4 linked regions of the Schizosaccharomyces pombe genome follow. The protein of the gene in region 4 binds, or shares a complex with, the protein of the main gene of each other region. Each region holds a gene or a part of one and is shown on either strand. Other genes may lie near its edges. The genes, in order: mrpl20, mrpl25, mrpl1 and mrpl23.

The links.
Region 1: mrpl23 (region 4) and mrpl20 share a complex: the UniProt entries of both Schizosaccharomyces pombe proteins name them as parts of the mitochondrial large ribosomal subunit.
Region 2: mrpl23 (region 4) and mrpl25 share a complex: the UniProt entries of both Schizosaccharomyces pombe proteins name them as parts of the mitochondrial large ribosomal subunit.
Region 3: mrpl23 (region 4) and mrpl1 share a complex: the UniProt entries of both Schizosaccharomyces pombe proteins name them as parts of the mitochondrial large ribosomal subunit.

The regions. Positions count from the first base shown.
Region 1 is NC_003421.2:816,969-826,027, forward strand, and holds mrpl20 (mitochondrial 54S ribosomal protein mL58), read left to right. Parts: upstream 1-4,326; 5' UTR 4,327-4,675; coding exon 4,676-5,269; 3' UTR 5,270-6,509; downstream 6,510-9,059. Other genes in the region: Cu(2+) transporter complex subunit Ctr4, read left to right, coding at 1,491-2,360; telomere cap complex subunit Ten1, read right to left, coding at 2,881-3,189; SPOM_SPCC1393.12 (uncharacterized protein), read left to right, coding at 6,711-7,037; duf89 (cobalt/nickel-dependent phosphatase), read left to right, coding at 8,137-8,167, 8,275-9,059. UniProt on the Schizosaccharomyces pombe protein: Component of the mitochondrial ribosome (mitoribosome), a dedicated translation machinery responsible for the synthesis of mitochondrial genome-encoded proteins, including at least some of the essential transmembrane subunits of the mitochondrial respiratory chain.
Region 2 is NC_003424.3:4,992,233-5,000,120, forward strand, and holds mrpl25 (mitochondrial 54S ribosomal protein mL59), read right to left. Parts: upstream 2,276-7,888; 5' UTR 2,213-2,275; coding exon 1,814-2,212; intron 1,703-1,813; coding exon 1,664-1,702; 3' UTR 1,392-1,663; downstream 1-1,391. Other genes in the region: lipin, phosphatidate phosphatase Ned1, read left to right, coding at 1-1,102; meiotic recombination protein Rec24, read right to left, coding at 3,798-4,531, 4,672-4,939; rga9 (RhoGAP family GTPase-activator protein), read left to right, coding at 5,385-5,487, 5,543-5,703, 5,756-6,502, 6,545-6,785, 6,836-6,922, 6,975-7,001, 7,042-7,440, 7,476-7,723; tbc13 (GTPase-activating protein), read right to left, coding at 7,792-7,888. UniProt on the Schizosaccharomyces pombe protein: Component of the mitochondrial ribosome (mitoribosome), a dedicated translation machinery responsible for the synthesis of mitochondrial genome-encoded proteins, including at least some of the essential transmembrane subunits of the mitochondrial respiratory chain.
Region 3 is NC_003424.3:1,788,516-1,796,843, forward strand, and holds mrpl1 (mitochondrial 54S ribosomal protein uL1m), read right to left. Parts: upstream 3,937-8,328; 5' UTR 3,729-3,936; coding exon 2,967-3,728; 3' UTR 2,885-2,966; downstream 1-2,884. Other genes in the region: ftp105 (Ubp5 interacting protein Ftp10), read left to right, coding at 1-1,177; protein saf5, read left to right, coding at 2,110-2,763; poly(A)-binding protein Crp79, read right to left, coding at 4,078-5,436, 5,508-5,982, 6,074-6,251, 6,337-6,457; protein Mmc1, read left to right, coding at 7,785-8,328. UniProt on the Schizosaccharomyces pombe protein: Component of the mitochondrial ribosome (mitoribosome), a dedicated translation machinery responsible for the synthesis of mitochondrial genome-encoded proteins, including at least some of the essential transmembrane subunits of the mitochondrial respiratory chain.
Region 4 is NC_003423.3:4,217,262-4,225,161, reverse strand, and holds mrpl23 (mitochondrial 54S ribosomal protein uL13m), read right to left. Parts: upstream 5,390-7,900; 5' UTR 5,260-5,389; coding exon 5,239-5,259; intron 5,197-5,238; coding exon 4,744-5,196; 3' UTR 4,546-4,743; downstream 1-4,545. Other genes in the region: SPOM_SPBC16G5.07C (prohibitin), read left to right, coding at 1-34, 131-709, 752-1,022; SPOM_SPBC16G5.06 (uncharacterized protein), read right to left, coding at 1,293-1,985; scs2 (VAP family protein), read left to right, coding at 2,796-2,985, 3,256-4,217; mrz1 (ubiquitin-protein ligase E3), read right to left, coding at 5,682-6,488. UniProt on the Schizosaccharomyces pombe protein: Component of the mitochondrial ribosome (mitoribosome), a dedicated translation machinery responsible for the synthesis of mitochondrial genome-encoded proteins, including at least some of the essential transmembrane subunits of the mitochondrial respiratory chain.

The sequences.
Region 1 (9,059 bases), on a different chromosome or scaffold from region 4:
ATTATTTTCTTGTTGCATAGCTTCGGTTAAAATAAATATATAAAACAGCCCTAGTATTTCCCAAATGTGTTTACTAGTCTTTTCATATTTTCACCGGCCTGTTGGTTTTAACTGATCAAAAGTCATCAAGCCACCTGTTTTTCACTGCAAATATCAAATTCATTTCAATACAATAGAAAAAATGATGTGAATTAGTTTGCATAGAAAAAAACCTGAGACTAGAACTGGTAAAAATTTCTGTGCATTCACAATTGTGGGGAACTGAAAAAATAGAGAATCCAAAATGGGGAGAATCCGATATAGACTATGTTAAATCTAATAAATTTATACTCCAACCCATTCACTCTAAACTCAAGCTTTCTTGTAAAAAACATCAATACTGTTTTCTTAAAATTCCATCTCTATTACTCACTAAAAGAGTATATAAAATATTAAAGAAGCAATTGTTCAAAAAGTGGTCGCATGATGTAGTCGGTTATCATGTCGATCTAATAAGTCGAATGTCGCCAGTTCGAACCTGGCTGTGACCATATTTTTGCTTCTCAAAATTAACAATATTGTGAGCTTGCACTGAAATGCTGTATCTTACATACCGTTATTTTTGTAAATAGTGTATCGTTAAAACAATACCTTCTAATAGTGGATAGCGCACTCAACGGTTCTGATGCTAAAAAATGTCACATTTCCTCTATGCAAAAAGGTTGGATGTCTTACCTAAATCTTAGGTGTGTGTTTTTCTTGTGCTAAAATTATGGAAATGTCACTGTTTGTGATGCTGGATTCCGACTGATTCACTCATTTGATGAAAAAAAATGAGGCATTTTTCTTCTACCTCCATCTGCTACTTGGATGTTACTTTGTTGGAAGAAAAAATCAATCGAGGTATTATTGCGCTGTAAAAGAGCTGATTTTAGGGACAGAAATAATCGCTCATTTCGTAGGTTATGGTATATATAAGGAAGGTGTGATAGAGACATTCCTGGACGCTTAACCTTGAGACGATTGTTTGACTGAAAGGCTTTGGTAGAACATTGGGTTGGTTAGTTTAATCGTTTAAATTCAGTTTATTTACTTGTAATTTTTCATATTGGTCGAAAAATTGGTTTTTTTTAGCAAAATATAGAAACAGAATATTTTCTTTGAAATCTGTATAAATTCAATTTGCTCTTCAATTCGTTGAGATTCTGCCCATTGATTGCCGAAATTTCGTTCATTTTATAATTGTGTTTTCTTTCTTTTCTTGTCTCTCATTTTCTTTTTCTTCCTTTTGATATTCATTTCTCCATTGTGTTTCGTAGGGTTAATTTTCATCTGCATATATTCTGTTTTCTTGTTTTTTAAGAACAAAAATTTTTCATCTAAATATATAATTGTCAAAGTTAGTAAGATACTGGTCTTCCCTAATCTTCAAGTTTTCTTTTAACTCTTTCGTCCTTTTTTTCTAAAACTCATTTACTACTCTTCTGGTTTTTTATTTTTCCCTAGAAGTCATGTCTTTCTTCTCCGCTGCAAAGCAAAGTCTGGGTAATTCCCTCATTAAGTTAGGAACATCTATGGCTCAAAATTCCCAAGGCCCTGTAGATGACTCTAGCTTGTCTCAATTGGAGAATTTGCTCCCACCTTTGCAAATTTTGACTGCTAGAGCCGCTATGGCTGCTATGAACATGTCGAATGATACATCCATGTCTGGAATGAACATGACCAACAGTACGACACCCATGTCTGGAATGAACATGACCAATAGTACAACATCCATGTCTGGAATGAACATGTCCAACAGCACAACATCCATGTCTGGCATGAATATGACTAATACCACTACAACCGCAAAGGCTTCTTCTTGTAAATTATCCATGTATTGGAACTGGTATACTATCGATGCTTGCTTTATTACCAAACATTGGCATATCACCAGTAAGCATATGTTTGTCGGTAGTATTTTCGGAATTATCTTCATGATGATGGCATTGGAATTGGTCCGTCGCGGACAAAGAGAGTTCGATCGTTGGTGTGTCCGTAGATTTTCTCCCGCTAGCAATTCCTGCTGTCATTCGGGTGCCCCTGTTCATTCTGGTCCAAGCATGGCCCTTCGAATCTTTCTTCATTTTCTTCGGTCCTGCTTTTATCTAGTCCAGTATATTGTCGCGTATATCGCAATGTTACTCGCAATGTATTATAATGGCTATGTAATTTTATTTCTCTTTTGTGGCACCTTCTTTGGCTATTTCCTGTTTGGTGCGGATACCATCTCTACTAAGGCCTCTTCATCTGTTCAAACGAAAACGATCGTTCAAGTCGCCGACGAAAAACACGAACATGATTCCAGTCAATATTCAGACACAACACCTACAACCGAATAGCTTGATTATCTCTAAATTTGGTTTAGTATTCCCAATTTCATGCACCTCACTCATTTTCAGTGCTGAAGCGTCTGATTAATCATAATCGTCTTCGCTTTAATTTCTTTCGCACAGTCACTGATAGTTTGGAAGAGGATTCTTTGATGAATGTTGAAGCCACATATTACATGTCCATGTTGGAAAGACAAAACAAATTCTGGTAATTTGTCTTAAGTTTTTACAAAGTAATAAAAGTTTCAACAAAAATAAATAGATGCCACAAGGTAACGCTTATCTTTGTTAGTTAAACATTCAAATTAGAGTATATAGCAATTTGAACAGATGTAATTCGTTCCTTTTTTTTTTTAACCATGATTGTTTGTTTTCGACTTTGAACCTGGAGGTTAATAAATATTTATTATTATAAAGACTGACATTAACACGATTCAGTACCTTTATGGTATCTTAAGGTGATCACTTTCTATATATTTTTAAATGAGTTTGTAATGACATGGTGCAACAGAACTACATAAGATATTCATCAATCACATTTTTGACGTTCAGAAACCATTTGTCGATATCTCGGAAGATTAATTCCAACAGCAGATCGTATTAACAAGACATCCACAATACCATCCTGCCGCTTTCTCCCAACAATGTTGAGCCACTCATGCTTTTGAATAGATACATCAGGTAAAACTACTGTAACATCACAAGTCACGCTGCTTGATCCATCAATCAACCGTAGAATGCCATTCTTATATGATTGCACGCATCCTAAAAATCGAAGTTTTTGGCCGTCCTTACAATCGTTAATTTGATTAATGAAGATAAGTTTAGCACTATCCATCAGCTGCTAAATATATTGTAAAAAGGAGAACAAGGAAAGATGAGGGAAGGTGGTATAGTTTGTGTTTGGAAACTGGGTAATCGATTGAAATATGAATTTCGTAAATGAGCGACTTAAGATCGCAGCTTTAATTAAGAAAACGTAGTTTGACTTTTTCAAAAGGAAAAATTTGCATTAATCCTTAAAATGTGCAGAAAGACTACACTCTCGTTTGCAATAGTAAAAGCAAAATCTAATAATCGTATAGTACTATCAGTGAGGCATATTAGATTGATAAATAGACCAACATTTCCATTATTATTATTTATGAATTGGTTTACTTGAGCAACTCCACAAAAAACGCAAGCATGGTTCTTTTGATTAGTTTTTATAAATTAAGTCAGATGGAATATAAAAAGAGAAAAATAAATGCTTTGGCCGGGAATCGAACCCGGGTCGAATCGATGGCAACGATTCATTATACCACTAAACCACCAAAGCTTCTTGAAATATCTTGTAAACTTGTATAATATAAGTAGCTATTAACGATAACGATAATTATTTATTATACCATTATAATATTGATTAAAATCAAGCAGAGAATTGGAAACATGTTCTGATGTAGTTGTTTAAGGCCTTATAAGAAATCAATAGTTCTTGTAATAAATTCCGATTTTAGTTATAGGGCCAATGCGGCTAATATTCACTTGATAAATTGAAGCTGACTGTAAACAAAAGGTTACCCCTTACTTAACCATTTGATATTATAATTTACATTGCAAAAAATTTGGGTCAGTTTGAAAAGGTGTGTACATTTCCTAAAAATCTATGGAAAATTGAAAAAAATAAAATAAATTTAATTTAATATTTAAAATATCATGCTTCCAGTATTCAATATAATCGGTATTTAAATTGAACCATGAACAGATTAGAAATGGTTTAAAAAAAAAACAGCAAAACAAAATTGTATTGAATTTATCCTACAATCAAAATGCCGTTAACAATATTTTTTAGCTTGAATCTTCCGATTTCTCTTAATAAACCGTCAAAGTGCCAAAAACCAGTTTTAATATAACGAATTATATAATATACATTTAAGGTGCCATAAACACACTGCATTATACGTATTGAAACTAAGAGTGTGGATACTGTGCATATAGAGACTGCTAAACTCCAGGAAACCCGCATTTGGAGAGTAATTTCGTGTTTTTACTCGGAAAATTGCAAGCCTTAATACGATTCTTGTAAATTCAAAAGTTAGAACTCTTCCAAGTGATTTTTTGCGTGTTTTTTTGCTGTTTATTTTTTTTTTGCATTGAGCTCTTTTGTCACGTCGTTGCTATAGCTTTTAGGCTTTGAGAATCTTCGTTATAACTAATATTATTTGAAGTGTGGGTTTATCCAAAAGGCCCTTTACAGTTTTTTGTGTTATAACCTTTTCTCAAAAAAATTTAAAGCATCATTTCTAAAGCGACACCAAAATTAAAATAGTTGAAAGAGTAAAAACATGTTGTTTACAATCAAACCTTCATTTTTGAAGCCTGTAGGCTTCATTCAGACTCGGAATTTGAACCGGCTATACCCTAAACAACGTATTCCTAAGCGACCTAAAATTCCTATGGGTTCCAAAATAGCAGAGGTAACTGAAACTACATCTGCTTATTACAATCCACCAGCGTCTTCTCCAGATGTTAGGATTACTCCTCCTGTTTTTCGCTATGATGCACCTCCAATTCATCAGCGTGATACCTCACTTTCCAAAGAGTCAATGTTTCTCCCGCCGGCAGTTAGCCGAAAATCGAAAAGCAAAGGAAAGTTGAGGTTTTCTACTCATCAACTGAGTAGTGAAGATATCAAATCCATCCAAGACTTGAGGACGAAAGATCCGAATGCTTGGACAACTGGAACACTGTCTAAAAAGTTTAACACAACTCGGTTACTAATTTCACGAGTTTGTGAAGCTCCCAAAGAAAGGATTCAAAAAGTTGAAGAAAATTTTGAGGCTGAAAAACTTGCCTGGGGATCAAAGAAGCGTGAAATTCGCCGACAACGTGCATCTCGTCAAGCATTCCGTACATTGGAACGAGTAGCACAGGTTTAAAATAATTTAATAGTTTTTGGGATTCTAAAACTCTGGTTTTCAATAAAGCTCTGATGCACATGCGGAAGCGTTTTTGACTGCATTATTTAATGTTTCAATCACGTTACAAAATACTCGAGTGATTTGAAAGTTCCTTGGAAAATAATATTAGTTTTGAAGCTTTTCAAAAAAAACAGACATCTTCATTCTTCTTTATTTCTTAATTTACAAAGGCTCTCTGGCATTTTACGAATTATCCTTTACATTTCTATCAACATTTACGCACATTGGTCTGCATATCGCGAATTTTTGTCGCAACCTTTAAAATGTTATTATACAGGCACGAACTTGTTTTACATTTTTACCTCTCCCTTCTCATGTACATATTTCCTTTTTGGAACAAATGAGGAAATTTTTCATTTCAGCTTAGTAGGCTCGGAAATCCTCAATCATAGAGTATGTTGCTTTTGTAACACTCAAGCCAGTTTTTTTTTTTTTTTGGTTTTATCTTTTAACTATTACTGAGAATATACAATGGTGTACATAATTAATTGGGTCAGCGAGCAGTAAAAAAACATCTTTATTTCCTCTTGTACAGAGAGCCCTTTCGTTCAAACCTCAAGTGGTGAAAATAAAGATATTTTTTCGGCTTTTAAGCAGTTGCTATTTAAGATTTCCAATCGACATCAACCGTTTATAAACACTCACGAGATACTTACTTTTGCAAGTTTCCTCACCAGCCATCATCCATCCATCTCCTTAGGACAATTTGCATTCTACGGATTTCATTAATACATCCATCTCTAGCTACTATTTACTTATATTAAAGCTTTGTTTCGCCGTTTTCTACTTTTTTGAAGCTTGTGTGACTATACGTGCTCTTCTTTGTTGGCCCAATTTTCCAACGATCGTCTAAAGAAACATGCGACCTAGTTGAGGAATTTTGCTTTAAGACATTGTTTTTACAGACTCTAACAAGCTTAATTTGTATGGTGGACACAGCTTTGTTGTAATACTGCATACTGCGATTCTCAAATCCTACACTCCTCTCTCCTCTTCTCTCCTTGTTACTTAGTACCTCGAGAAGTTTTGGGGTGACATCAGTCAGACACAAGAATTATATGATGGGTGGGTGGGTTAATACGTATATGAATGATCTCATTTACGTTGCCGTATTGTGCTACTAAAAGTGTTATATATAGAGCAGTGGGAAGTAGAAGTGAGCACTCTTATTAACGATAAAGTTGTGAGTTGAACAAAAGCGACTTACTACTTTGAAATATTGTTTTACTTTACAATTGAACATTTACTAGTGTTCAGGAAAAATCTAATTTTTTTTCGTGCGCTCGATTGAATATTATATCAATCCTTTGTGTTGTACGGAGAAAACCGCTTTTATATAACCTTTCGATTTATTAATTTTTTTTTACTCGGTTAATTCACGAAATCCTAATCGAGCATCATGAATAGGCGTGTTACTCTTGGAGCCTTGGCCGCTGCTGTTGGTGTTGGTTATTATATGACTCGCCATAATCGTCAGGCATCTTCCAGATTGGAACAGAAGAATGCAGAAATCGTCAGAGCCGTGGAAAATGAGGGTCAACGATTTGACAAAGCTGTTGGCGAAACCACTGAAAAGGCAAAATCTTATCTCCAAAGTGGGAAGGAGAGGGTTGTCGATGAACTCGACAAACCTCGTGAAAACGTAAAAAATGTGTTGTCAGAGGCGCAAGCCAAGGGTACTGAACAAGCAGAAGCCCTTAAAAAGGGTACCTCAAAATGGTTTTAAATTGGAAATCCCCAATTCTCGCCATTTAGGGTTATGTGGCAATACTTTGAAAAAATACACACAGGGTTTGTTGTGTATTTGAAAACGTAAAGTGCCTAGCATTGGCTCGTTCTATACCTGCTATCCATTAAGTGTTCTTGTTAATTGTTCCAAACGTATTGCCAAACATTCCGGATCACATCTCGGCAAAGTCGGAGAGATTAAACGTTGTTAACGTTATTCTTTTTTATGTTATTATTAGTTTCTTCTCTCATAAACCAACTGAACCCAAATGATTAGCGATGACAAACAAACGACGATTCCATGGGTTGTCAAAAACACCCTCATAGAAGTTTGCTTTTTTTTGTACAGATAAAAGCGAATTTTTAATTGAAATAATGTTTTTCATGAACGCATAAATGAATGATTGAAATTTTTACATGCATGATTTTCCATTATAGACTGTAAAATGATATTTAAAGTAAGCGATGTGGACTAAGAGTAGTGATAATGCATATGAATACATGCATAGTTTGGATATTATAGGTTTTTCCTAGTTTCCATTATTAAAAAAATAAAAGATTGAAAGGAGTGTTTTGCTTTAATCTGCTCTAGTAGACAGAGTCAAAATTGATATATTTAATAATATTCAAGATGAAGAGATAGAACTCATCAAGTTCGCTTAGATATAACCTTAGCTTACGCGAAAGATGAGAATACTGTAATGCATAGTTTTTTGTTAATTTGAGACAACGAGAGGTATGGAAAATGCCCCTCAGGTGAATTCTCTAAATAAGCTAAAAAGTCAAACGCAAAAAAATGCATTATGCCGGTTTATAGAAGATAAACTTTTTTTTGCTGACAAATATTACGATGGAATTGTCGTTTTGACATTTCTTAGCCGTCGTACCTAATGCTTCTGACTGCTAATCAAGCTCTAAAAAAGCGCAGTTCGTTATACTTCTCTATCCCGTTTTCACCTTCATGACAAGTCCTGCGTATGTATGCATTCTACCATCTTCCATTATTCGCACTTGGGCGTACTCAGCTAAGCTGGTTTTGGCGTATTCATAAACGTGTCTATCCTTCAACAGGAAAATAGGTACCTGAAGAAAATAAGATGGGTCTCAAATTACTTCATCCTCCTAAACGTATGTAACGGTTTAGCTAGACATATAAACAAACTTGAGGATTCTTAGTTGGATGCTCGAGCATCGTATAGGTAGATTAAAACCGCAAAATAACTAACTTTATACAGCTTATGCGATGACCAGTGACCCTGAGTCGTATGCTTCGGTATGTGTCATGAAAAAATGGCCTATTATAGCTACGAATGTGATTGACGAGGTTTCTCGAAACATATCAAAGGCATTGGAGGCGGGAATGTCCGATAAAGCTGCTTATGTTACTCAAGGAAAGGAAATAATCAGCCTTCTTAATCAACTCAAATATGATCTTCAACACAATCGCCCTCTGAAGCCGCTTGTCGGTCAAGGGCCTGATATTGATGACTATAATGAGGAGTTGGAACAAGTTGGTCCATTGACTTGGGGCGATGCTCCCTGGCTTTATGCTGGATGCTATTTTTATCGTATCATGAGTCTTTTCTTTCAAGCCCGTTCTGAGTGGAATCGCCATGACCCCTTCTTTGAACAAAAGGACTTCACATTACGTTCTAGCAAGTCGGCCATTGAAGAATTTGCCAAAAGATATGTACACCTGAACAGTGAACTTGCTTCTATTCAAGAAAACAAGGATGACAAGGCTGCATACATGATTTTTGTAGAAATGGCGGAAATTTCACTTTGGGGCAACGCCATTGATCTGGGACTCTTAGTAAATGCTACCTACGAACAATTACAAAGCCTTCAGGGGCAAAAAGCTGTTGAGGAATCCCAGAAAAACATTTTAGTGAATGATTTCCCCAAAATTTGGTCGAAACTTTCAAAAGTTCGTCATGGTCGCATCGATTTTGTTCTTGATAATGCGGGATTTGAACTTTTCGTTGATCTTTTATTCGCTACTTATCTTTTGAAAACAGAA
Region 2 (7,888 bases), on a different chromosome or scaffold from region 4:
TCCATCTCGCACTCCTGCGTCTCCAAAGTCCGATTCGGCTTTAATGGATGAGGACTCTGATTTAAGCCGTCGACACTCTTTATCTGAACAGTCTTTGAGCCCAGTTTCCGAGTCATATCCTCAATATGCTAAAACCCTTCGTTTAACCTCTGATCAGCTTCGTTCATTAAATTTGAAGCCCGGTAAAAATGAGCTTTCCTTTGGAGTCAACGGGGGTAAGGCCATTTGCACTGCTAATCTTTTTTTTTGGAAACACAACGATCCTGTCGTTATATCGGACATTGATGGAACAATTACCAAATCTGATGCTCTAGGGCATATGTTTACCTTGATCGGCAAGGATTGGACTCATGCTGGAGTTGCCAAATTGTATACCGATATCACTAACAACGGCTACAAAATTATGTATTTAACTAGTCGTTCGGTAGGCCAAGCCGATTCTACTCGACATTATCTCCGGAATATTGAACAGAACGGATACTCTCTACCCGATGGTCCTGTTATTTTATCACCTGATCGCACTATGGCTGCTCTTCATAGAGAAGTAATTTTAAGGAAGCCAGAAGTATTTAAAATGGCTTGTTTGCGTGATCTTTGTAATATTTTCGCCTTACCTGTTCCTCGAACACCATTTTACGCCGGCTTTGGCAATCGTATTACAGACGCAATATCTTATAACCATGTCAGAGTTCCACCAACTAGGATTTTTACCATTAATTCTGCTGGCGAAGTCCATATTGAACTGTTGCAGCGAAGCGGTCACCGAAGTAGTTATGTTTACATGAATGAGCTTGTCGATCATTTCTTCCCTCCCATCGAGGTTAGCACCCGAGATGAAGTCTCAAGCTTTACTGATGTGAATTTTTGGAGATCTCCTTTGCTTGAACTTAGCGATGAAGAAGAAGACGATACTAATAAAAGCACATCCAAGTCGCCCAAAACACCCAAAAATACGAAATTCGGATATCAAGAATTCGAGGGGATTGACGAGGAAGATGCTCAAGATTATTCTCCTAGTCCATTGATTAAGTCTTTCAATGAATTAATGTTTGAAGGTGAAGAAGATGAAGAAGGAGAAGAAGACGTTGAAAATGCTGTTTGAAGTTGCATTTTCCCAATTTCCGATGAAAAAAAAATTACTCGACTGTCCATCTTTTTTTTTAATGCCCCAAAATCTTAAAATCACTTTGACGAATTTCCGTCGGCTTTGAAATGCACTAATAAGCTTAGAAAGTTACATAAATCATATAATGACTTACTTACTCATTCACAAGTAATGAGTTTTGAGAAAGTGCTAAATATTTTTTTTATATTTAAATGCGCTCTTCCTAAAAATTAAAGATAACAAGATACTTCATAATGAAAAGTTACGAATAAATCACATTCTAAAATCCTAAGTCTGCAGATTCAAAACCTAATATTTAAATGTAATTTAACTATTAAAGTAGAATCATATTATTAGTAAAGATTACAAAAATGTATAGACTAGTATATTAGTCTTTTTATCATGCTGCACAATAAAAGACTTTTAGTAAACACATAATTGAGGTAATATAGCAGTAAATTTAAATGAATCTTTAAAAAAATTTAAGGAAGTCATAAACAAACAGGAATCAAAAGGTATTAACAGTATTACGTGAAACCCACTTTGCAGAAGAAGAATTTAGAAAGGAGAAGGTTTCGCTATTTTGCTAGCTTTTTGCTAAAAAGAGTGTTAATAAAGACAATTAAAAAAATAATAATAGTAAATTTTTCACAATCAAAATCAGTAGATAGAAATAAGAAAATCATGAAAGTACAACAGTTTACATACGCGCTCATTTTTAAATTTAGAAGTTTTCTTCAATGATTCCGAAAGTTTTAAACGCCTATTTTCCAAAATCTCATCCCTCTTTCGTTCACTAATTTTTCCTTTAGGATTCAGAAGACCTTTCAAAATATGGCGTGTAGAATCTTTCTGCCATGACATTTGTTGGGGGAGTAAATTATCCAGATTCTGAAGCCTGGCCTCTTTATATATTTCAGCTTGCCTTCTATTGGAATAGTAAGGGTTGATTACAAGGCCATTCTGAGGATTTCGAGTTGCGAGAAACGGATTTTGACGATTTGGATTTGTCGTCCATGCATTTGGATTTTCAGGCGGAAACTTTTTAAAAAAGTTTCCTAATTGGATAGGAAGCCGTTCCAAAGCTTCCTTGGTAAAGACTGGCATGATAAGGTTAAAACCTCTTTAATCTATAGAGAAGCTCAAAAAGACAGTGAGTCAAGCACTATTAGTATTAGAAAATACATTGACCTAAGATGTCGGCAAACGTTTAACTGCGCTATATTACGTTAAATCAATCATTACTGTTCATTCTTGAGTTCTTAATCGAAACTTTTCATCGTTTGAAATATTAAAAGAGTTTATTATCTCAGACAATTCTAAGCCAATTTATTGACTATTAGCGTTTATTAGGTCGGACTAATTCTTAGTTACTCAATTTAGTTCCAATGGATATACTAATTAATATAATATTACGGTGTAGCAGTACTATAGTTAATAAATACAAAATTATCCAGGGTATTATTTTATACAAATATAAAAATCACTAACATATTTCGTTATTATGTATATCGTTGTTAAATTAGCAACTATACAAACTCCTTAAAATATTTTACATACTGCGTAGATGGCTTCCTCTCGCATTAGTCCCTCTACCTTAGGCATCTTTGTTGGGTTGCGTTATTTAATTATTGAAGGCTGACAGTATGTGTGATTGTGTTCCGCCAACGTAGCATTCAAACGCTTTCAATCATTATCGTTTTTAGTTGTGATTGCTTCTATGATTCCATCAAATGAGGCCCGTTCAAGTAAGCTGTGTGTGGTTATAGAGTTTCTGATGCCAGTAAAATTATCATATCAGATCATGTACGGATTCCTACTGACACATGTTGAGAGTAAGCAAAAAAAGCTCAATCATGCTTATTTTGAGTATTTTAAAACATAAATAAAAGTAAAAATTATTGTAGGAAAAGTCCGGTCATCTCTCGATGACTCCAATTAGTGGAGAATATAAGAAATACTAAAGGAATTATTTATAATGACATGTAACGCAGTGTGACATAAAGTTAGTAGTGCATAGAACTGTTGGTGATATCAAGTTGACAAGGAATCGATAAGACGCTCTTTAATGTTGAATATTAATAAGCCCTGTAAGTATCCCTGTTCTTCTAGTTAGGTCTATAGCTGAAAAACCTTCAATTCTCTGGAGCTTGTGTGGTTTTATCCATTATCACTTCCTTCGATTTATCCCTCGTAAGGAATAGGATAGCAATGCGTATAGATCAAATCGCGGATTATGAATGAAGGCTTGTGCGATAAATTTCCTTTACTTGATCAATAATCTTGTTGTCAACGCGTTGTATTAAATGCGCTTTATTGGAAAAGAAGAAACATAGCTTGTTGATTGAAATTCCAAAGTTTCTTGTAAACGAATTTGGAAAGCACTTCTGTACTTGAAAATAATACAAATTGGCCACTATATATTCGCTTTTTTTGTTCCTTTGTTTCTTTTATCCATCAATTTTTAAAAGCAGAAAACCTTTCCCTTATGCCCAAGATTTAAAAGGGAACATAATATCAAAGTTCATCGAATGGATATGATGATCAACACTTTCACCACAACGTTCTTTGTACATTGAATTTCCAGAAAAATTCCACCAAATGTTGTGAATATTTTAGGATAACAAAAGGAGTCAAATTGGAAAGGCAAGAAATGAATGTGTGTTAAATAGTGGCCCTCAATATATTACTATTAGGAAATGTCTTCGGGAAATAGCATATCTTTGAGGCCAATCAAAAGGATGGATGGAGCAGAGTAGGCACTCTTAGACAACTCTTGTTTATCAGTTTGTAATTCTTCATTTGTGATTATGTCTCTTAAGATTTGGACACATTTGCTTGCGGCAGATGAAAGCTGAGCATCGAAGGAGTGTAGACAAGGGAAGTATATCTCAGCGTACGAAAAAAAACATTCACTATATAACAACCGGATAGATGGGTTATCGTTTTTGCAATATGTGAAGCATATTTTCATCCGTTTAACAATTTGATCTAGTAATTTTTCCAATTGCTCTACGGAAGCGAATGAGAGCTTGTTAAATATCAGTTGCTCCAAAAATACGTAAAATTCCAAAAATTTCGCTCTGGAAATCACTCCAGTTCCATTGTTGGCATTGTTTTGCATAATCGACTGCGTGATTATAATGAGATCCAGTACATAATCTCCCAATTCAACTAGTCTTGTTAAAACCAACGGCGACTTACAATCTCTTTTAAGAAACATAAAAATTTCTTCGAATAAAGTTTTAATGCGCAAAAAATCCGCACCCTCGTATACTTTTGTTTGCTTCAACTTTATGTCAGCAGTGCATTTTAAGAATCGAAAAAGTCCATTAAACGTGTACTCAATATCCAGATGCGCAAGGCTTCCGGATGTTTGCCTCTTTTCCTGAAGATTCTCGTGAACATTGGTCAGCAAAAAGATATCTAGATTGGATTGTTAACGAAAGAAAATTCATACTATTTTAGATCAAAAAGGCTTTCTTTAATATAACTAATGCTTTAGATATAAGAAGATATACCGGCCTAGTATTGATGGATTTAATAAGCATCGTGCAAGTACTTACCCATATCCTCGATTTTTTTAGAGAACGGTTTGGCTTTTAAAGCCACACACTCTGTAACATTACTATTTTTCAAAACAACATCTTTTTTCGTCTTTGGGCGCGGTTCCAATAATGTTGACGCGTATTTTTCGCAATGTTCCTGATCCTCAATTCCTTTCCGCAATGCTTCTATGTAGTCTTTGATATTTTTTCCTTTCGGTTTTTTTAAAATTATCTTCCATGCTATTGCTATTTTCAGTGTCTCTCCCGACGAATCGTACGTGTACATTGTCTGTATGAGTATTTGTTTACTATTGTCTTCAGTATTTGTGCCATTCATTACAGTTTACGATGCTTTGTACTGCACTATGTAATTTGGTTTGTTTACATCTCGTCGCGACGAACCCACTTAAATACCAACATCTACATGACTCTTTACAAAACCAAAATTACATATTAATCACTGTGAATAATATTTAATACCGCTTTCTTTGTAAGTGATTTTTTGAAGAAGTTTTTCCTTCAGTCCTTCTTGGATTATTTGGAGTTGTAGGAGAATTCTAATCCTCAATGTCAATTTACTGATTTATCTGTAATATTTTTTAAACTAACGTTTTTAGATTAAAAGAGAACTCTTTTGTAACTACCTTTAATCTATTAATTAGCTGGCACTCAACAGAAGTACATAGATATACTTAAGTGTATTGTACATCAGACATTTTTATCAAAAAGATATGTGGGACGGCTTTTCAAATTCGTTCTGGTCAAGGGATTATATTACGGGAATAAATCGTGCCCAACGTTTAATCAACGAAGGTGTTGAACAAAACGAAAAGCGTATGCACATGAATTCTTCTTCTTGTAATAACTAATGATTTAACAATACGTTTAGTATTACAGTTGTTACATATTAGAGCAAAGTCAGCTTCATCTTGTTCTGACTTGCTGTTCAAATCGTTTTCAAAATTCAATAAGCACCATCCTTTAAATGAAGAAAGCAATGATCTTCCTTCTGATGCAGCCATACACCAGCTTTATGAAAGCTATTTAATGGTATACTTTCAATCGTTACTCTTATGGTCATTATCGCTAATATTTACAATAGGAAGCGTCGTTGCACAAGAAGCTTGGGGAGCAATTAAATATATTGGTAATAAATCCTTTTGCAAATTGGTCAAAGAAATATTCTAGAAGGGTAGATGAAATCGTTTCAGCCGCAATTGTCAAAATAAACAACTACAATTCACGTTTCTCTCATGTAAACAGCAAGAAGTCTAATTTGACCGACCGAAAGCCAATTCCTACCTCTCGAAAATCTAATAAATCCGATTCTCTTGCTTCTGCTCTGTCTCAGCTGGATATTAATCCTTCTAACGTTAATAAGTTTGATGGGTTGATAAACATAGTTGATCATCCATATACCGCTGAGGAATTTGCCAATGTATTATTAAAGCTTATGAAGGCGTCTACTGTTAAAAGAAAATCTTATTCTCATCTCGGTGACTACGAACTTGTTACAAACTGCTCTCTTCTATTTGAAGCCATCAAGACAACATTTGGTTTGGAAAAAGATTCTTATGTCGTTAAAGCTGGAAACCAGCTGATACAACATGGCTTAATAAGGTTACTTGGCATTCGTCGAGTTTTTGAAAATGATCCGGAGATAGATGCTCAATTTACTACAAAATCACAGCAACTATTGAAAAGTTATCATTTGAGTATTCTTGAGGTCGATCCATATTTTCAAGTAAATGATCCTATAACAGCTACTAATGATGATCCTGTTTTACAAAAGTACAACCTTGCTTATGACAATTTAGAGCAATGCCGTCATGAATTAGAGTTATATTTGGTATTGAGCATTATTCTTCTTTCATTTGCTAACCCTTTCCAGTTTATGGTTTTTAAAGATTTAGAACAAGCTGAGCTTGATCGTTTGAATGCTGTCAAATCGGTTTTGGTTGAATGTTCCAACTATTCCGGTAATTTTATACCTAGTCTTAATTCGATTTTTATCGACAACTTAAATTCGTTTAAAAATCTTGATTCTTTGCGCGATATGTCAACTCAAATAAATAAACATTATACCGGTTATTTTATTCCGGTTTCTAACAACGAACTATCTACTAAAGATGGTAAGTCCACATTTATTGAATTTGTGATATCTAACCTATCTAACCTACAGAATACTTGTTTCTGCAAAAATCCAGCTTGACCGAAGATAATCTTATTGTTTCGTTGGTGCCTAAAATATTGGCTTATCTATTAGACGGTATTTTAAATAGTTTCTTTATCATTTGTTCAAATTTAACTAATATAATCAGCCTATTCTTATGAACGTGACGAAGAAGGTAAGAAAGTATTCACTTGAAAAATACTAATTTTTGCTAGTTTTAAGTTGTGTTTGGACTACCGAAGTTCCACTTAAAGATGCTTTTGACCTTAAAAGCGTTTTACGAAAGACAGATAACGTTGAATCTGTTTTAAATGCTTGTGTGGAAAAATATACACTTTCTTCAATTACTTGTTCTTTAAGGTTATGCCTTTTAGAATTTCCTGATTCGTTGATACGATCAAGTTTCTATGATTATTTCAAAGCTATCTACACTACTTATACAGACTTTGAAGACCTCGATCACCGCCTGTATTCAATTAAAAAGTGTCTTCTCCATCTGCACTCCACACCATTACATATATTGGAAGAAATAATTCGCCATTTATCTGCCTATGCAATCTCTATTCGCATGAAAGATGGTCAAATTCGACATCTTGCTAAAATAATTTCGCCATGTATGTCATTTTACAAATATTTGTCTAACCTCTAGGTGTACTCCGTCCTCCTGATGATTTGAATATTATACCAGTTGAAGACACACATCCTACTTTACTGGTTATTGATTTAATTAATGAATTTGAGAATCTTTTCGCAGATCTTGAAAGGCCTTCGACACCTCCTGTGGAGATTGAAAGGGCCCTGACTCCAATAACAACGTCTCCTCAGAAATTGAAACTACCACGATCATCCTCGCCTTGCAAAAATCCATCACCAACACGAAGATTTAGACCATTTTAAAACTTATAATTCTTTTTCAACCTACTTTACATTGTCCATTAAAACTACGATATGTCATTTATAGCAATCTAAATCACATTCCGTTTAACGGACACCTTTCGTTTAGAGGTGATACCAATTTTTCTTCTTGAAGTAGTAAGATCCTCTTCCTCACTGGATTCCTCC
Region 3 (8,328 bases), on a different chromosome or scaffold from region 4:
AGCAGTGAAGAGATCTCCGTTTAGCAGTTTATCTCCTGTTATATTGTTGACCATATGCAATATTGCACCATTTGTTGAAAACCTAAGTTTCGTTACGTGTGCCAAATTAATGCAACTCTGTTCATCTCTTTCATCTCCTCGGTTTCTTTTTCGTAATCCGCGCAATCATCTGCTTCTTGAATACCTGTTACAGGCTATTTCTAGTATAGTTGAAAACAAGTTTTCTCAAAACCCTAATCTCAGTTATTCTATTATTCGCCTCCAGCAAGTTTTTTTGAATCTTAATTCTATGAAACTTCCTGCCGTTGCTCAGACTAAATCACAGCCTTTAGTGGCCCTCAATTCGGAAGGAAGTAGTGATTTTGAATCTAAATCATCCGATAACACCTCCTTAGATGGAACACCACTCCAAAATACTGACTTTAAAAAAGTTGCTACCGTTGAAGATGATTCACCTTTCGATGAATTAGATAAATTTTCCTCCCCTTTTAGTAGCAGTAGTTCACGCGGTGGCTTATCACATATTTCGAGTAGAAATGTTTCGATTTCTGTCCCGACAGTCCTTCAAGATGTATTCTCAGATTCTCCATTGGTTCTGTCTAGAAAGTTGCGTGGGAAAATACCGGAAAATGTTTCTAGTTCAGAACTTATTAAAAAATGTGCATCCAATCCGTTTGGAAAAGATTTAGAAATTGACTCAAATTTGTTTGCACCTTCCAACTCGTGGTTTAATTCTTGGCATTCAAGACTTGAATTGGATTCTATTCTAGCCATTATATCTCAGTTTTCTCTACCTGTATACAAGAAAATGAATGAAGAATTATCAACTACTGACGAAGCTGTTAAACTATTAGCTAACTCTGTGCTAAATGATGTACATCCTCGAGTTCCCAATTTTCGCTACTTTATTTGGAGTGTCCCTATGAATAATTGGTTTCAAAGTCTTGTTTGGCTTTATACTTTGTCATTTGATGAAAAAGGTTTAATGGCTACTCCCTCTTTATTTACAACCTCTAAAGTGTACAAACAACATGGAAATATCATGAAAGTTGCATCTCCTGAAAACAGTTCTAACTCAATGGAGAATGCCACAAAATCTATACTTGACAAACTCGATTTGCTGTATTTACAGCTGCCAAGTAGTGTCAACCACGATTCCAGTTTACGCAACAAGTGATTCTTAAATTCAATGCGTAAATTAAAGTATACTTTTGTCCTAAAAAATATTTGAAGAAAACCCTGCATGCATGTTATGGTATCTTACTTTGAAAATTTATTGATTAAATTGTTCACTAAAAAATTATCTTGGAGGATTTGCATCCACATACTGCCATCATTTAATTATATACTGATGACCAGAATCTTGCCTTGCTAATTTTGATTTTTGAACTTTTCGATTTGTTTTCATTCTATTAATTAACTAAAAACTGGCTTGGAGAATCTTCTGCTCCAACCTTGTCACTAGCTTTAAAAAAGTCTTTCGAAGTTTGATTTGGAAAGTTGGTGTTTGAAAGTCAATCTCGTATACTTTAGAAAGACCCACCTTTATGAGAGAAACGATCCACTGATGCTAATTCATTACATGTATCCAAATCAATGTATAACCTTATATAGCAATGAATTGGTTGCTAAAAAATTCTTAGCTTTATTTCGCTACACTTATAAATCTGTTTACTATATAAAATAAAAAATCCAATTTCAAAAGTTTTGAGTCCCAATTTTTTGGGTAACGAGGATTACTTCATAAAGACCTTAGACCTTTCCTTTATTTTTTCCACAAAACTATTTATATTCATGAGTTTGTTTTGTAATTGCAATGAATAACTAGCTTGTCATTTACGAAAATTGCATATCAAAAGTATTTGAGTAAAATCGATATCCTGTTTGGCATAATGGTTCAATTTATAAAAAATTCGTGTGGTTAAGAGTAGAAATATATTTTCGATTTTGCGAAATGCTTAATATGCGAAGATATTGTATTTGAGTACTTCAAAAGAATACAACGCACAGTAAACCTTTTCTTTCAATAAATTATCAGGTAGAGGTGGCCTTATTACTGTTTTTTAATAATTTTTATGCTTAAATACCTATTGGAAGCAAGAAGTAATTATGATTACCAAAATTGACTCACTTCCAAAGGACCTAATTCGCAAAGTTGAAAATGGTGAAAAGTTGTTGCCAAATCAAGAAATCGTTTATTTTGAAGAAAAAACAGTCCCCTATAAAATTAGAAGTGATGAGGAAAGTTTTCCTTTGGGCAAATTGATAACTTTATTAGTAACTTCACAGAGCTTTATCCTTTTTGATGAAGAACAGAATTCTGGCTGGAAAATTCCATATGAAACCATTACTCTTCATGCGAAACAAAGCAAGGATAAGCCATATGTATATGTTCAATTAGAGGGTGAAGCCATTCGACCCTTGCTAGATCACATTCTTAAATTTGAACGGTCGTCAGGAACATTGCATGAAGCTCCTTCTACCGAAGATGAAAATGAATTCACAGATGATTTTTTAGAACTAACATTATATGTTACTGATGTTGATTCATGTTACCAGGCTCTTTGTACTTGCCAATCTCTACATCCGGACACTTTTTCCTCAGATAATGATGTTGAAAACGCGAGTATGGGAAACCCTATGTCCTTATTTTTTGATCCAAATCACCAGTGGGTTACGGCTGAAAACGTAGATACCTCAGCTTGTGATAACAGATTTGATTCTCCGGAATCGCCTGTTCTGAAATGGCATCGCACAGAGTAACTTTCATAATGTTGTATTCTAACGTTTCATTCATACTTTTTAAAAAGTAGTTTATGATAATAAATAAATATAAACAGGCTTCTAAATTTACTAGATAAAATATCATTACACATTTCACTAATTTGTACAAAATTAATCATGTAATACATATTACAAATGACAAGACTGTAGACTAAATTTCCCATGCAATAACATTTTAATCATTATTTATACTGGAGAGGAATTGCAATAGCATGTGAGGCGGAAAGATGAACATGCTTTACGGTAACTTTAACTTTTCCAGGCAGTTTGGCCAAAGTAAACCGAACATTTGATACAAGTGCTTCGATGTTTTCTTGTAGCTCCTTGTCGCTGAACCCTAGTTTTCCAACCGGCAAATTTATCGAGCCTGCATCATTTTGCCGATAGTCAACAGCTGTGAGGGCAGATTCAATGAGTGGCTTCAATTCATCTGATATAGTACCTCGTTTTATTGAAGGCATAAGACGTTTTGATCCTAATAATTTAGCAACTTGTGGTAGTAATTCTGCCGAGTTGGGATGAGCAAAGCACTTTGAAAATTCAAGGGGCTCTGTTTGAATTTTTTTTACTAAGTCTTCTGCACCAACATAGGTTGCACCCAATTTTAAAGCTTCATCTGCAGCTGCACCTTTAGCAAACACACAAATTTTAGGAGGCTCTTGAAATGGATGAGGAAAGGCAATTTGACCACGAGCTGACGGAGCGCGTCGATTACTTTTTAAAGCAATTGAAAGCATATAAGACCCAACATATGGAACAGAAATGCTCACAGATTTGAGATATTTTGTGGCTTCAGGAACTGTCATCGCAAGAGCGGGAAAATTGGATTTCTTGTTTAGTTGAGAAATAAACCTTTTGCAGAAACCCTTTTGATTTTTAAAATTTAAAAATTCATTATGTGACAATAATGTTTGCCGTTTACCTAACGCTATTAATGAACTCATGGTTTTTAATCTGGTTCGTCAAACTGTCACCAAGCTACTGGATGTCAGTCAATGAACCTGCTAAAATCATAAATCTCTAAACAAATCTGATCCAGCTGTCAACTTTCGAATTAATAAAGAATTATCTTTCAAATCAAATTTCCTTATAATGTTTTTGATTAAAGACTAAAAATAAACGGTTTCGTTTAAATTCCACGTTGTGGTAGTTGTAAGATACTGTAGGGTTATACTAGCAAATCCATCCGTTCACGATGTATATATTTTAAGGAGTTAAAAGTTTGTTCATCGGAGTTTTGAGGGATATAGCATTATGAATTTTGTTTCATAGTTATATCTTCACCGCATCTTGTTAAATCTGCGTCAACTGAATAGTTGTTGGTGAATTGTTGTTAACCTTTGTTGTTGATAAAAAATTTTCCTTATTTGAATCTTTAATATGATAGGAATTCATTTTTTGGATATTGGATGTAGCTTCTGGATAGCTGTCCATGTACCCGACAAGTGAAAGCATGTTCGTTGACTCATTACAGTCCTCATCTTGGAAATGTGAGGGCTCAACTGTTACGTACGTAAGAGTTGTACAGGTTGTTGCTCTTGCTCTTGGCACAAAGTATGCATTACTCAGCTTTTTGTTGTGAAGCATGTCTTGTATCTTCTTCAAGTTGGTGGCTGTTGAACCCATCTTAGCAGACCCTCGGTTATTTAGTTTTGTGTTAGCATGGAATACCAATGGTTTTAACAAGTTTCCTTGTTCTCCGTCATGGCTCAATTTTCCTGCTTCTTTCTTTATATCCAAGTTGCCTGATAACTGTCCACTAAGTTCCTTATTTTCTTGCTTACAGTTAACATATTCATTTGTCTGACTGGGTTCTTTGTTTTCACCAGTCTTAGGCTCATTCTTATTTTCAACCTTACTTGAAAGGGTCGTGGGATTCTCAGAGATTTTGTTTGTAGAAGACTCTATTGGCTTTCGGATGGTAACAGTAGAGCTTCTTTCTGGTTTGACGAACAAAGCTTTGTTGTCTTGCTGCGCTGTTTGTTCTGAAGTAGGTTTGTTTGCAAAAAATGCTTGCAATCTACGAATTCTGTCAGACTTTCGCTCCGCGAAGCAAACGAAAATCCTTTTTTTCCCAACCATCATTCCATTCAATGTGTCTTTGGCTCTAACGGCAGCCTCTATTTGACGAAACGCTACGAAACCATAACCTTTGGAGATTCCTGAATTTGGATAGCATGCTAACATGGAAGACAAAATCGACCCGAAGGGTGAGAATAAATCTTCCAGCTGACTCTTGCATGTGATGACGGTATCATCTAAATTTTTAACGTATAGATTTGAAGGGTCAATAGGAGAATTAGGGATACTTGGAGAGCTTTCACGTAAAGAGTCCCAATGCACGATTGACTGAGGTTTATTATCTGGGTTCCAAGCGGCTGGATGATTTTGCTGATTTGAAACACCGGTAGTTGAAACGCTACCCCATTGGCTTTTCTCCTTAGTTGGTGAGCCCATAATCCATGTCATCTTCGAACATGTAGCATTTTCGATATTTATTTGAGTTTTGTTAGCGTTTTCCGATGGGAAAGGCCATAAGCTTTCACCAGTCGGCGTTGTGGGAATTGACTTCACTGAAGAAGAGGCTTTATTTTTTATACTGACCTCTAAAATGCTTCCTTTGTATGGAACGTTATTTAATTTTTCTATTGCCTTAATAATGAGGTTAGTATCATGAAATAGATTATGCAAATATTGGGGTTTTCTCTTCATATTGAGCTTACATTTTGACATGATTCAACTGAATCCATAATCACTTCGCCATACCGGAACCCTCTTTGGTCAAGAAACTGGCTGACCGCCGTCCCTTTTACTACACCAGCCTGTTTAAAGTGGTTATATAAGTCAATCGGTGTGACTTCGGCAGGTAGGTTCAAGATACTAAGGGGTAACGTAGAAGCGAAGGCATTTGGTACAACTTGCATGCTAATATCTTCCAAACCAAGAGACGGTATGGTAAGCGTTGTTTCTGGCTTCGGGTTACGCGAATTTATGCCTCTCACAGTTTCCCAATTTCTTTCTTCGACATTTGGAATAAATTCCTTAATCTGAGACTGTTTGAGTCCTGGCTTAACGTTTTCCTCATCTGTATTGTTTTGGATGCTAGGATTGAACACGTTCGCAGTGATTGACGTATCGTTAGGTTTGAATTTTTTGTCTGTCAGTTTCGCAGGATTTACGACTCTTGCTTTAATGGTCCTTTTTTTTAGGTTAGTAATTTTTTGGAGAATGATTTTTCGATTTTTTTTTCTGTAATGCTTGTCTCTAATTTTTCCCTTCAGTCACTTACAATTTTCTTTGGCCCAGAGTCATTCCTTTAGCGTCCTTTAGAACTTCTTCAATGCTTTCAGCATTAACGAATTTGACGAACCCATATTGCACTCCATTTTTAGGAGGTTTAAAAGGTTTCGCTTTTTCCTTAGGATAAAAACTATCAAGTAATCGACGAAAGATGGATTCTACTTGTCCTAAAGAATTGATTAATATATCGCTTTTATTTATGTTTTCTAATGTTTTTCCTCGTGTTTTTATCCTTGACTTGTGTGTTCATACCATATTTTGAAAAGTGTTTGATGATTTCTTCATCAGAAAGTCGGGAATCTATATTTCCTACATATATAGTACTGCTTTCATCTTCATACTGTCCGGGGACAGAGAGTTTTGAATTGTTCATTTTATCTCAAAAAAGATGTGTGATGGAAAGGAATGGTTGTTGTTTTTGGTATATATAGGATCGCTGTTTGTTTACATTTCGATGATGCATGACTGAAACTATTACCACCATAACAAATGAGAGTAAACAAACCTTAAATTGACCTCTTAACATTTTTAGAGTAATATTTTTTGTTTTTTTTTAAAAATGCTTGTTTTATATTTACAACTTGATTTCCTAATATTCATGCAGTTTGGTTCATATCTGTTTTATCCATATCTCTACTAAATCCTCAAATCGCATTTATAATGACATTTTATTTTATTTTATTATTAAAGTCAATATTACCTGCTCGCATTAAAAAATATTTCAAATTCATACCATCCTTTTTTCGGCTTTCGCTGATTTCAAATTAAAAGTTGAATTTCCTTAAATGAATCAAAAAGCAATTAGGCTAATATTCTGGTGAATCCATTCATAAATTTTCAATTATTGTTGTTTTTGGCAAACCAACTGATATCGCACAACCTGTCAATAAGTTAGGTCAATCAGTTTATTACTCAAAATCCAGATGTTACTAAATTCTTTCATCTGCTTTTTTCTTTGGTTTTCTTTGATTTTAGAAGTATGATAGTTTAGAGCTTTACTCGCCTATATTCTTTGCTAACTAACTATACAGTATTTTACTGGCAAAAGGTAATAGATTTAGATAAAATAAGTTTGAATCGAATGACCATTAAAGTAAGTGAAAAGCAATAGGTGAAGATTTAGTGTAATCATTAAAAAGGTTATAAATGTTAGCAGTTCTCCAATATTAAGAGCAATTTATGTAGCTCATTTCAGTTCCTTCTAATCCATTTTAGACTTAAAGCTTCATTCTGTCGAATACCGTTTTCTTCAAATACTTGTATAAACCTCGGATTTTGTCACTGTTTATGAACAATGAATTCGTCTAAATTAACAAAATGCAAAATTCTTTGTTTTTTTGTTTTTATGATTGTTTGACTGAACAAATAAATAAACATATACAGATTTAAGGGTTAACAATATCCAATGATTTTCCAAGAATATTATACTGCTGGGTTAAGGTATTTTGATATAACATCTACGACACTACTCAATAGACACAACTACTATACAACCTTCGGGTGCCATCAGACAACAATTATTCACTATAGTATTTGTTTTAAGAATTATTAACTTATTAGTAAATGTTTTATTGTGTATTTGGAACTTTAACTAATACTATCTAAAATCCGGTAATCTCGTTCCTTTTTGGCTTTCGAATCTAGTGTGGTTCATATGCGATCCTTTGTTGTGATTAGTTTTTCATAGGCTCAGAGAAATTATGCTAAGATTTGGAATAAAAACATGGAAGCGCTCTGTGTTGGCGATACGCAGGTCGTCGACCGCTCCACATGTGCAGATCATCTCCAATTTGCAAAAAAAGCTGCTCAATGAGCTTTATTCTTTGAGAAGATTAGTCGATGACAATTCTCCTGCAACAATTCGTGTAGGAAATGTCTCCCTTTTGCTTTCCAAATCGAATATTAGGAGGAGGATTGCGCTACAGGCGTTAAGCTCTTCTGCCGAAGATGTCGCGTGTGTCAAACAAATCACACATGCTCTTCTCGCTGCTCCCTTTATGCCTGAGTCAAAAGAATTGAAATATGCCATGGATCACAATGGACTAAACCCACTTTATATCTCGTTTGGCACAAATGCTTTGTTTGAGCGAAATGCTAGGTATAGTACGTCACATTTATTTCTTCCAAGCGACTTCCTACAAGTCAATAATCTTGAAATTATTCACCTTCCTCCGGGAACAGTGGACTCTGATATTTTGGCTAGTTGCCATGCTCGATATATATGTTCTACTTCTTATTTAAGAA
Region 4 (7,900 bases):
CTTATGTTGTTGAACGCATGGGCCGCTTTAGTAGGTAAGCCAAGCTCGAAACAATGTGTTTTTAAAAAAAAAATCGAATGAAGAAAAAAACTCACTTTAATTTGATGAGCTAAGTTACTAACCGATCTAGAATATTGACCCCTGGTGTTGCATTTCTTGCTCCAATTATTGATAAAATTGCTTATATTCACTCCTTAAAAGAAAGAGCGCTTGAAATCCCGACTCAATCTGCCATTACATTAGACAATGTTTCTTTAGGCTTAGATGGAGTCTTGTATATTCAAGTGTATGATCCCTATAAGGCAAGTTACGGCGTGGAAGATGCTGATTATGCCATATCTCAACTTGCTCAAACTACAATGAGAAGCGAAATTGGTCGATTAACTTTGGATCATGTCTTACGCGAGCGTCAATCACTGAACATTCATATAACAGATGCTATCAACAAGGCAGCTGAAAGTTGGGGAATACGTTGTTTACGGCATGAAATACGCGATATTCGACCCCCTGAAAGCGTGGTCATGGCGATGCATCAACAAGTTTCCGCAGAGAGACAAAAGCGTGCAGAAATTTTAGAATCTGAAGGAAAAAGACAAGCCGCAATCAATGTTGCTGAGGGTGACAAACAAGCAGAAATTTTAGACTCGGAAGGTCAAAAAATAAAAACTATTAATTCCGCCTTGGCAGAAGCTCAAGCAATTCGTGAAAAGTAAGCTTTATTTTCATATGAATATATTACTCACATTTTTAGGGCTTCTGCTACTGCTTCTGGCATTGCTGTATTAGCTGACAGTATCAAGAAGCAAGAACACGGTTTGGAAGCCGTTAGTTTATACATTGCTCAGCAGTATATTACGAATTTCGGGAAATTGGCCAAAGCTTCCAACAGTATGATTGTTCCTGCATCAACGAGCGATGTATCTGGTATGGTTGCTCAAGCCTTGTCTATTTTTAAACAAGTTTCTAAAACTACCGCTCCTGATAAATCGACTCCGAAAGAATTGCATACTGACGAGAAGTAATAAACATTAAGAGTTAATGAGGAATTCTGAATACACCATAACTAACCATTCAATATCTGCCTTACCGTTATAAAAATAATTATCATGATGTGGAAAATGAACTAAATTGTTTTCACTAATCTATAAATAAAATCAATAGTTGATGAAGATTGAAATAACAAGCTTTGGGCGTGCGTCGTCAAACAAAATCTATCATTAAATGTAGAAGACGTGAATGAATAGTATACAAAACATTAAGAGCCAATAAAACAAGTAAAAAAAACTTACAAATTAGAAATTTGAAGCGTATGTGATTTGTGGAGTTCCCTCCGAGTCTTTTGAAACTAAATTACTATCGAGATCTTCGTTGTTATTGTTCTGATCTTTGTTAGCAAGCAAACGAGGTCCCCAAATCCTAGCAATAACCATCACAATAGCAAGAAGAAACACAGAACCAACCACAACACCCACCAAAATACCTATGAGAGCTTTCACACCTCCATAGGGTGTGTAAGTCTGAGGAACGAGAGACGCAATGCCACTTTGTGCAGCAATAGTTGAAGCAAGCGACGTGTATTGAAATATCGTCGTAACATATGTAGTCGGTTGAATGGTAACGTACTCTGTCACAACAGATACCTGCTGATGAATAGAATTATTGGTGCTGGAAGAAATAATTTCATTTGATGCTGAAACATCTGAAGCTGTAATCACTGACGTGCCTGAACTAGAACTGGTCGAAGTAGAGGAAGGTGATGAGGAGGAGGTCGATGGTTGACTATCATGGCTGGTGGATATAGAAGAAGAACTTGAGCTCGAAGAAGTTGAGGCCCTTCGGTATAAACTAGGAAATACGGTGCTCAATGTACCATAGTTTATACTGACACTGGCAGATGGTGCAAAAGTTCTAGGAGTAGCCCCATCCACCACTAGATAACTTATGGCAGTAAAAATTGAAATCAAAAGAAAAGACCGGATGTTCATTGATTTAAAAGAAGTTATCGAGTTACCCTCACACAAATAAAAAGTTTTAATGATTAACTAGAAAATATTTCTAACAATGCAAAAGGAGTTTTAAAAATGGAAAGCGCAATAAATAGCAAAATGAATCAAGGGTGTAGAAATCAAGCTACACTATGTTTGTTATGCAAAAAACGAGAACGATAGTGATGAATTAGGGTAGATAGTATTTACCAGATGAAAATAAAAGAGAAAAGATCACTCAAGAGATATACCTCTGAAAGAAAAGCCTTAGTCGAAGTTCGTGATATTTTGGTTACACTTGAATCTCTCACCGAACAAGCAAAGACTTACATTAATTCTGAATACTAACCATTTCAAGTCCTTAAACAATACCATATATTAGAGGGTTAACTGAAAGAATAAAAATTAATAAGAAATTTAATTAACCAGTATATGATAGCGGAATTAAAGTAGCGAGCCTTTTACATGGTGTTCAATAAGCCTATTCACCGATTAATTTACCGAGGGTCACCGAGTTCACCGTCATTTGCTAGCCATTTCCTACGTCCACAAATAGGTATGGGGTGCGCGCATACCACTCAACTACCAACTTGAGAAGTTTCCTATTTTTGGTACAACTTGTTAGGAAGCGGTCCACGCGCTTATCTTTTCATATTTTAGGTATGATTTATTACTTTGCATTAAATAAAAGATGAAAGTTCATCCGCTTGCGAATTCCTTGAGCTCGTTGTTGTGTCTGATCTCAAAATACCAATAATGTGCTGAAATGTTTTACATATTTATTAACCTAAATAGAGATAGTTATTCACAATGAGTGTCGAGTGTAGTGGAGAGTTGTTTTTCTATCCTCCTTTTACGACTATGTCGAAGGAGCTCATCTCCGTCCATAATCCCAATCCCGAGCCTGTCATTTTCAAGGTGAAGACTACTGCTCCCAAGCACTACTGTGTTCGTCCCAACTCAGGAAAAATTGAACCAAAATCTACGGTGAACGTACAAGGTTTGTAATTTATTTACTCTGGAGCGAACCACCTATCTATCTGTTCACATTTATTTTTTTGTAGTCTTTTTTATGTCTTTCAAATGTTTTTATATTTAGATAAGATATAAATACATTTTGGACTTTTAAAAGTTGTGATATTATATTTTATTCTTTTAAAGTTTGTTGTTTTTCGCTCTTCTTTTTTTGGAATAAACTACTATCATCTTTTTTTTTTATCTTTACGTGCCTCTAGTGTTTTTCTATTATCTTGGCTAACATATATTCTAGTTTTGCTTCAAGCTATGAAGGAGGAGCCTGCTCCTGACTTTAAATGTCGTGACAAGTTTTTAATTCAAAGTATGGCTATCGGTGATGCTGATACCAGTAATGTCGAAAATTATCACGAGTTTTGGACTGAAATGGAAAAACAAGGCCGTTCCATTTTTGATCGTAAAATCCGCTGTGTTTATTCAACTAAGCAACCTCCTCAATCCGCTGATAAACAGGTTGAGAACACTAGTACTTCTAACCCCCCTGTTTCTGTTGAAGGTTCCGAAAACTTAGCATCTTCTGTCGGCGGCCCTACGGCGGTTGGTGTGTCTTTGGATGAAGCTCAAAATGACTTCAATGGAGCAAAGGATCATTTAAGCAATGGTGTTAATACTGTTGTTCCAGATAGTACCTTCCGCTCTACTTTCGAAAGTGCACAAATTCCCGACGCCAGTGTAGTTCAAACCGTTGTTACTGATGCTGACAATGGTGCTGCTTCTGTCAAAGATACCATTGTGACAGCCGAAAGTGCTTCTTCCAAAGGAGCCGATGTTGCTAGATCGAAGGTACAAGATATTATTGATAATGAAATTCCAAAGCCTTCAGAAAGCCCTCGTCGCTCTGTTTCTTCGACTCCACCAGTCCACCCCCCTCCTCCCGTCCCCCAAAATTTATCAGCTGTCAATGAAGAATTTGATACTAAGAAGAATGATTTCGATTCTAAACTTCCTGAATCTACCCCTGCCGTTGAAAAAGTTTCTGAAAATCTCGGATCTGAAACTCGTGAATCTTTACAAGGGGCAAAACCTGCTGCAGGTGCTCATAGTTCCGACAACGCCTTGGAACAAATCAAGCCCTCTTATTCAGCTGACCCTTCGAGTTCCACTGGTGCTTCTTTAACCGAATCTCCAGGAATTCCTCCCAATATTGTTATCATTCTTTGCCTGATTTTCTTCCTTATTGGCTATCTTTTCTTTTAAAATGTAAAGCGTAGATATGTTTAATAAGAAGTGTAAAATCTTCTCCCTAAGTTAATGGCTCTTGATTTTATTACTTTATATGGCCTTTGCTAAGCAAGGTTTTAGGTTGACGTTTGTTGAATTTGTTTGCTCTTCACAACGATAGGGTACTTTTTAGCGCGTTTATCTGGCTTTGGAGATAATTTCCAAATGTCGTTATTTATGTCGACGTCTCATGTTATCTACTTTTTACTCGCAAGAAAAGTTGTAGTCCTCTTATGGTTACCAGACATTCATTCTTACCAGTTCACAAACGTAAATGTGTCTTTAAATACATTACAGCTTCTTATAGTGAATACAATAACATTAATTTATATAAAATAATTTTTTTTGGAAAGAACAATATTAAAATGTGTTAGCTTTTTAGGGCATACGACATTGTGGAATGTTCAAACATTAATGCAAAAAATCAATGAAATTTAAGTGAGTAGGGATATGGCTTTTGTTCTTTGAACTACCTTTTAAAATTAAAGGAGATTTTAAACACTTATTTCGAGAATAATTCCTTCGCAATTTGCGAACTTACAGGATTATGGTAGGAACGAAATATGTTTGCCTTATAAGGGTGTTCAGCTCCATCGTAAATATAAAGACGTTTCATTCTCCTATCCCAAAGCTTATTTCTTGGAAGCATTCCACCAACTGCTCTTCTCAACAAATCCTTGTGCCCCCGTTTCGCAGCCATTTCTTCCATCGTCCACTCTTTAAGATGACCAGGCTGACCCGAATGTGAATAATATTTATGATTTTCGAGTTTTCGACCAGAAATCCCAATTTCAGAACAGTCAGTGACTACTACGACATCTCCACAGTCTGCTGCAGGGTGATAAATGGGTTTGTGCTTGCCCATAAGAGTAGTTGCAATTTGGGAAGCCAGCCTACCTAGAGGAACATTTTTTGCAGAAACATGATGCCAAACTTTGGCGTAAGCCAATGCTGTCTGATATTGTTAGTAAAAGAAACTGTCAAACTAATTTCATACTTGTCCATTCAACGTTGACATCGCGTTGAGATTTCTATATCATAAAATCCTCAGTTCCTTCTGATTTTTCTCTTAAAGCGACAGTACAATATCAGTGGTTTCTAATAAAAGAGAAGTAGGAAAATTGCTCAAATAATGTTTCCTCAAGCTTGTAGGTGTGGGTAAATATTGGATGCTAAGCAACTGTAGTAAGGTAACTGTTACCTACAAAATTTCTATTTTTCAAAAATGTTGTTTTATTTATTATTTCTTAAATATTGATTTTTCAATTCATAATACGAACCTCCTTTACTAATCATGATAAAGCTAATAGCTATTGCTTCAAAAAATACCATTTGTATATATTAGAAAAAATAAGGCAATGAACGATACAATGATAAAACTAATTTTTGATAAGCCCAAAGAATCACAGTAAATTGCAATAATATACAATTAACGCTTGATTACGAATTTTCCGTCTCAGGACCAGATTCATGCTGAATGTTTTCAATTTGACTCAACAGCTGAACCATTGTTAAGCCTTCCGGACCATACAAATATCGCTTGCTATACAAGTAGCTGCTTATCGACAATGGACGGAATTGTAAATATCTTTGCAATTCATGGAGGAGTATAGAGGACTCTTCATGGCCTATAAATTCCGCTAATTCATCAATGGTTTGTGGATGTTGAATATTCTGAACTCGTAAGAGACCCATCAAAAAGATTTGTATAAAGTTAATTTGATGTCCATCTAAATATTCAAACAAGAGAAGTTCTTTAGCAATAAAGCTTTCCACTTTCTTTAATAAAGATGCGCTAGAAGCTAGTTGGATAGGAGTGGGTATTTGATATTGCCTATGTGATGAAAGCGAGGGATTTTCATAGCTTTTCCATGCCTTTTGATAGATGAAACGTCGTACGCGTAGCAAATCGGCCAATCTGTCAGTGTTTTCGCTGGAGGAAAATGAAGGCTGCCGTAGTAATTGTCGTGAAATCGAATACTGATTTGACCCCAAAGATTGAGTATACCACTTCTTATACAAACTTGACCCATGAAATCCATAAAACACACAATCTACGTGTCTCTTACAGATGGGACATGTCAAGGATTGATCCATCCAGCGACATATGCAAGAATAATCGAACTGGTCATGCCCACATGGAGATAGCTGTGCCCGAAGACCATCTTTTTGTAAACATATAACGCAATCTCGACGAAGGTAGCGAGAATTTGACGAGTTTTTACGTACAAGGAATTGCTTTTTCATTCTTCTTCTAAAATTTAATAACTTGTTATATTGTATTTATGCACTAAATTAATTGATGTGTATGAAACCGCATGAATGGCAGAATGTCAAGTTATCTTGTCATCAAAAAACATTGTGTGCTTATTCTTCTTAATGGAAAATTATTCAAGTCATAATTTGCAAGACTTGTTGAATTTTTTAAGGTGAATTTTCACAATCGTCGTCTTACACTAGATGTAGGCTAAGTTATGAGAACAATTAACAATTCGCAGTTACTAAACTGAATCTCTTCTGTACGCTCTTCGTAACGTTAACTTAGCTTAACGCGGTTAATGCTATATGCATAATACAAACAAAGAAGTACATGTTAATGTTAGCAGAACTACACTAGCTATGATACAGTACGTTGCGTATCACTATATGTCATATGCTAAGATATTACTTAAGATTCGTTTGCTGATAGATGCGGATAAATTGCTTTTCTGCATACATAAATAAATTGCTAAAAACTATTAGAAAGATTGTAAATAGAGCTACCACTGAACCTCGTTCCTCAGCTCAGTTATTAGCTATATCGGTGACCGATACTAATAGACTTCTTATAACAATAAATATACATTGTTAGTTAAATATTGCATACCGCTATATTGTAGGTCGCTAGAGAAACGTACCGCAATTTTTCGTATCGTTAAACAGATACCGAACTGCGTAGTCAACAGTTAAAAAATATAACGAAGTAACCTGTATTGCACTGTACAGAAACTTTTAGGTAAGTAGAGAGGCTAAAGTCCTCGAGAAATAAGAAAGTATAAGCGGGTTTAGCTAAAAAACTTAGCATCTTTTGTTCATCTGAATGCCTTTTCGCTCTTTAAACTACCGTGGAAAACCCTAATCTCTAGATTTAAAATTTGGAATGTACTTGTTTATAGTTGAAACAGCTACGTATCTTTGATTTCAATATTTGCCTTTTAAGATTATTGCTTAAAAGAATTGTTTAGAGCGAACTCGATTTTGCATTCTCCAAAACAAAATGAACTGCATATAATACCGCGGTACCGAGGCAACAACTTCTACTTCATATAAGTTCTAAGAGTTAGTCAAAATGTAATGCTGATTGCAAGTTCACATGACTAATTTAGACGGCTTGAGATATTTACTTAAATAAACAAAAATTTATGGGCTTATTGTTTTTCTGTTTTCGGGTTCGTCTTGCTCACTTGAAAACATTATTTAATAAATTCATAGTCAATAAAAATGGATATACTTTGTATAACAATATTTGTTACTACATTTTATGCTGAACATTGGTGTGATAAAATTCATGGAGGTAGCGGTTACTTCGCTGGTTAGCTTGATCCTATTACATAACTACGGTTTACGATAGTATATCTCACTAACATTTAATTTCACTAGCTGTCTTTCGTGAATTTTCC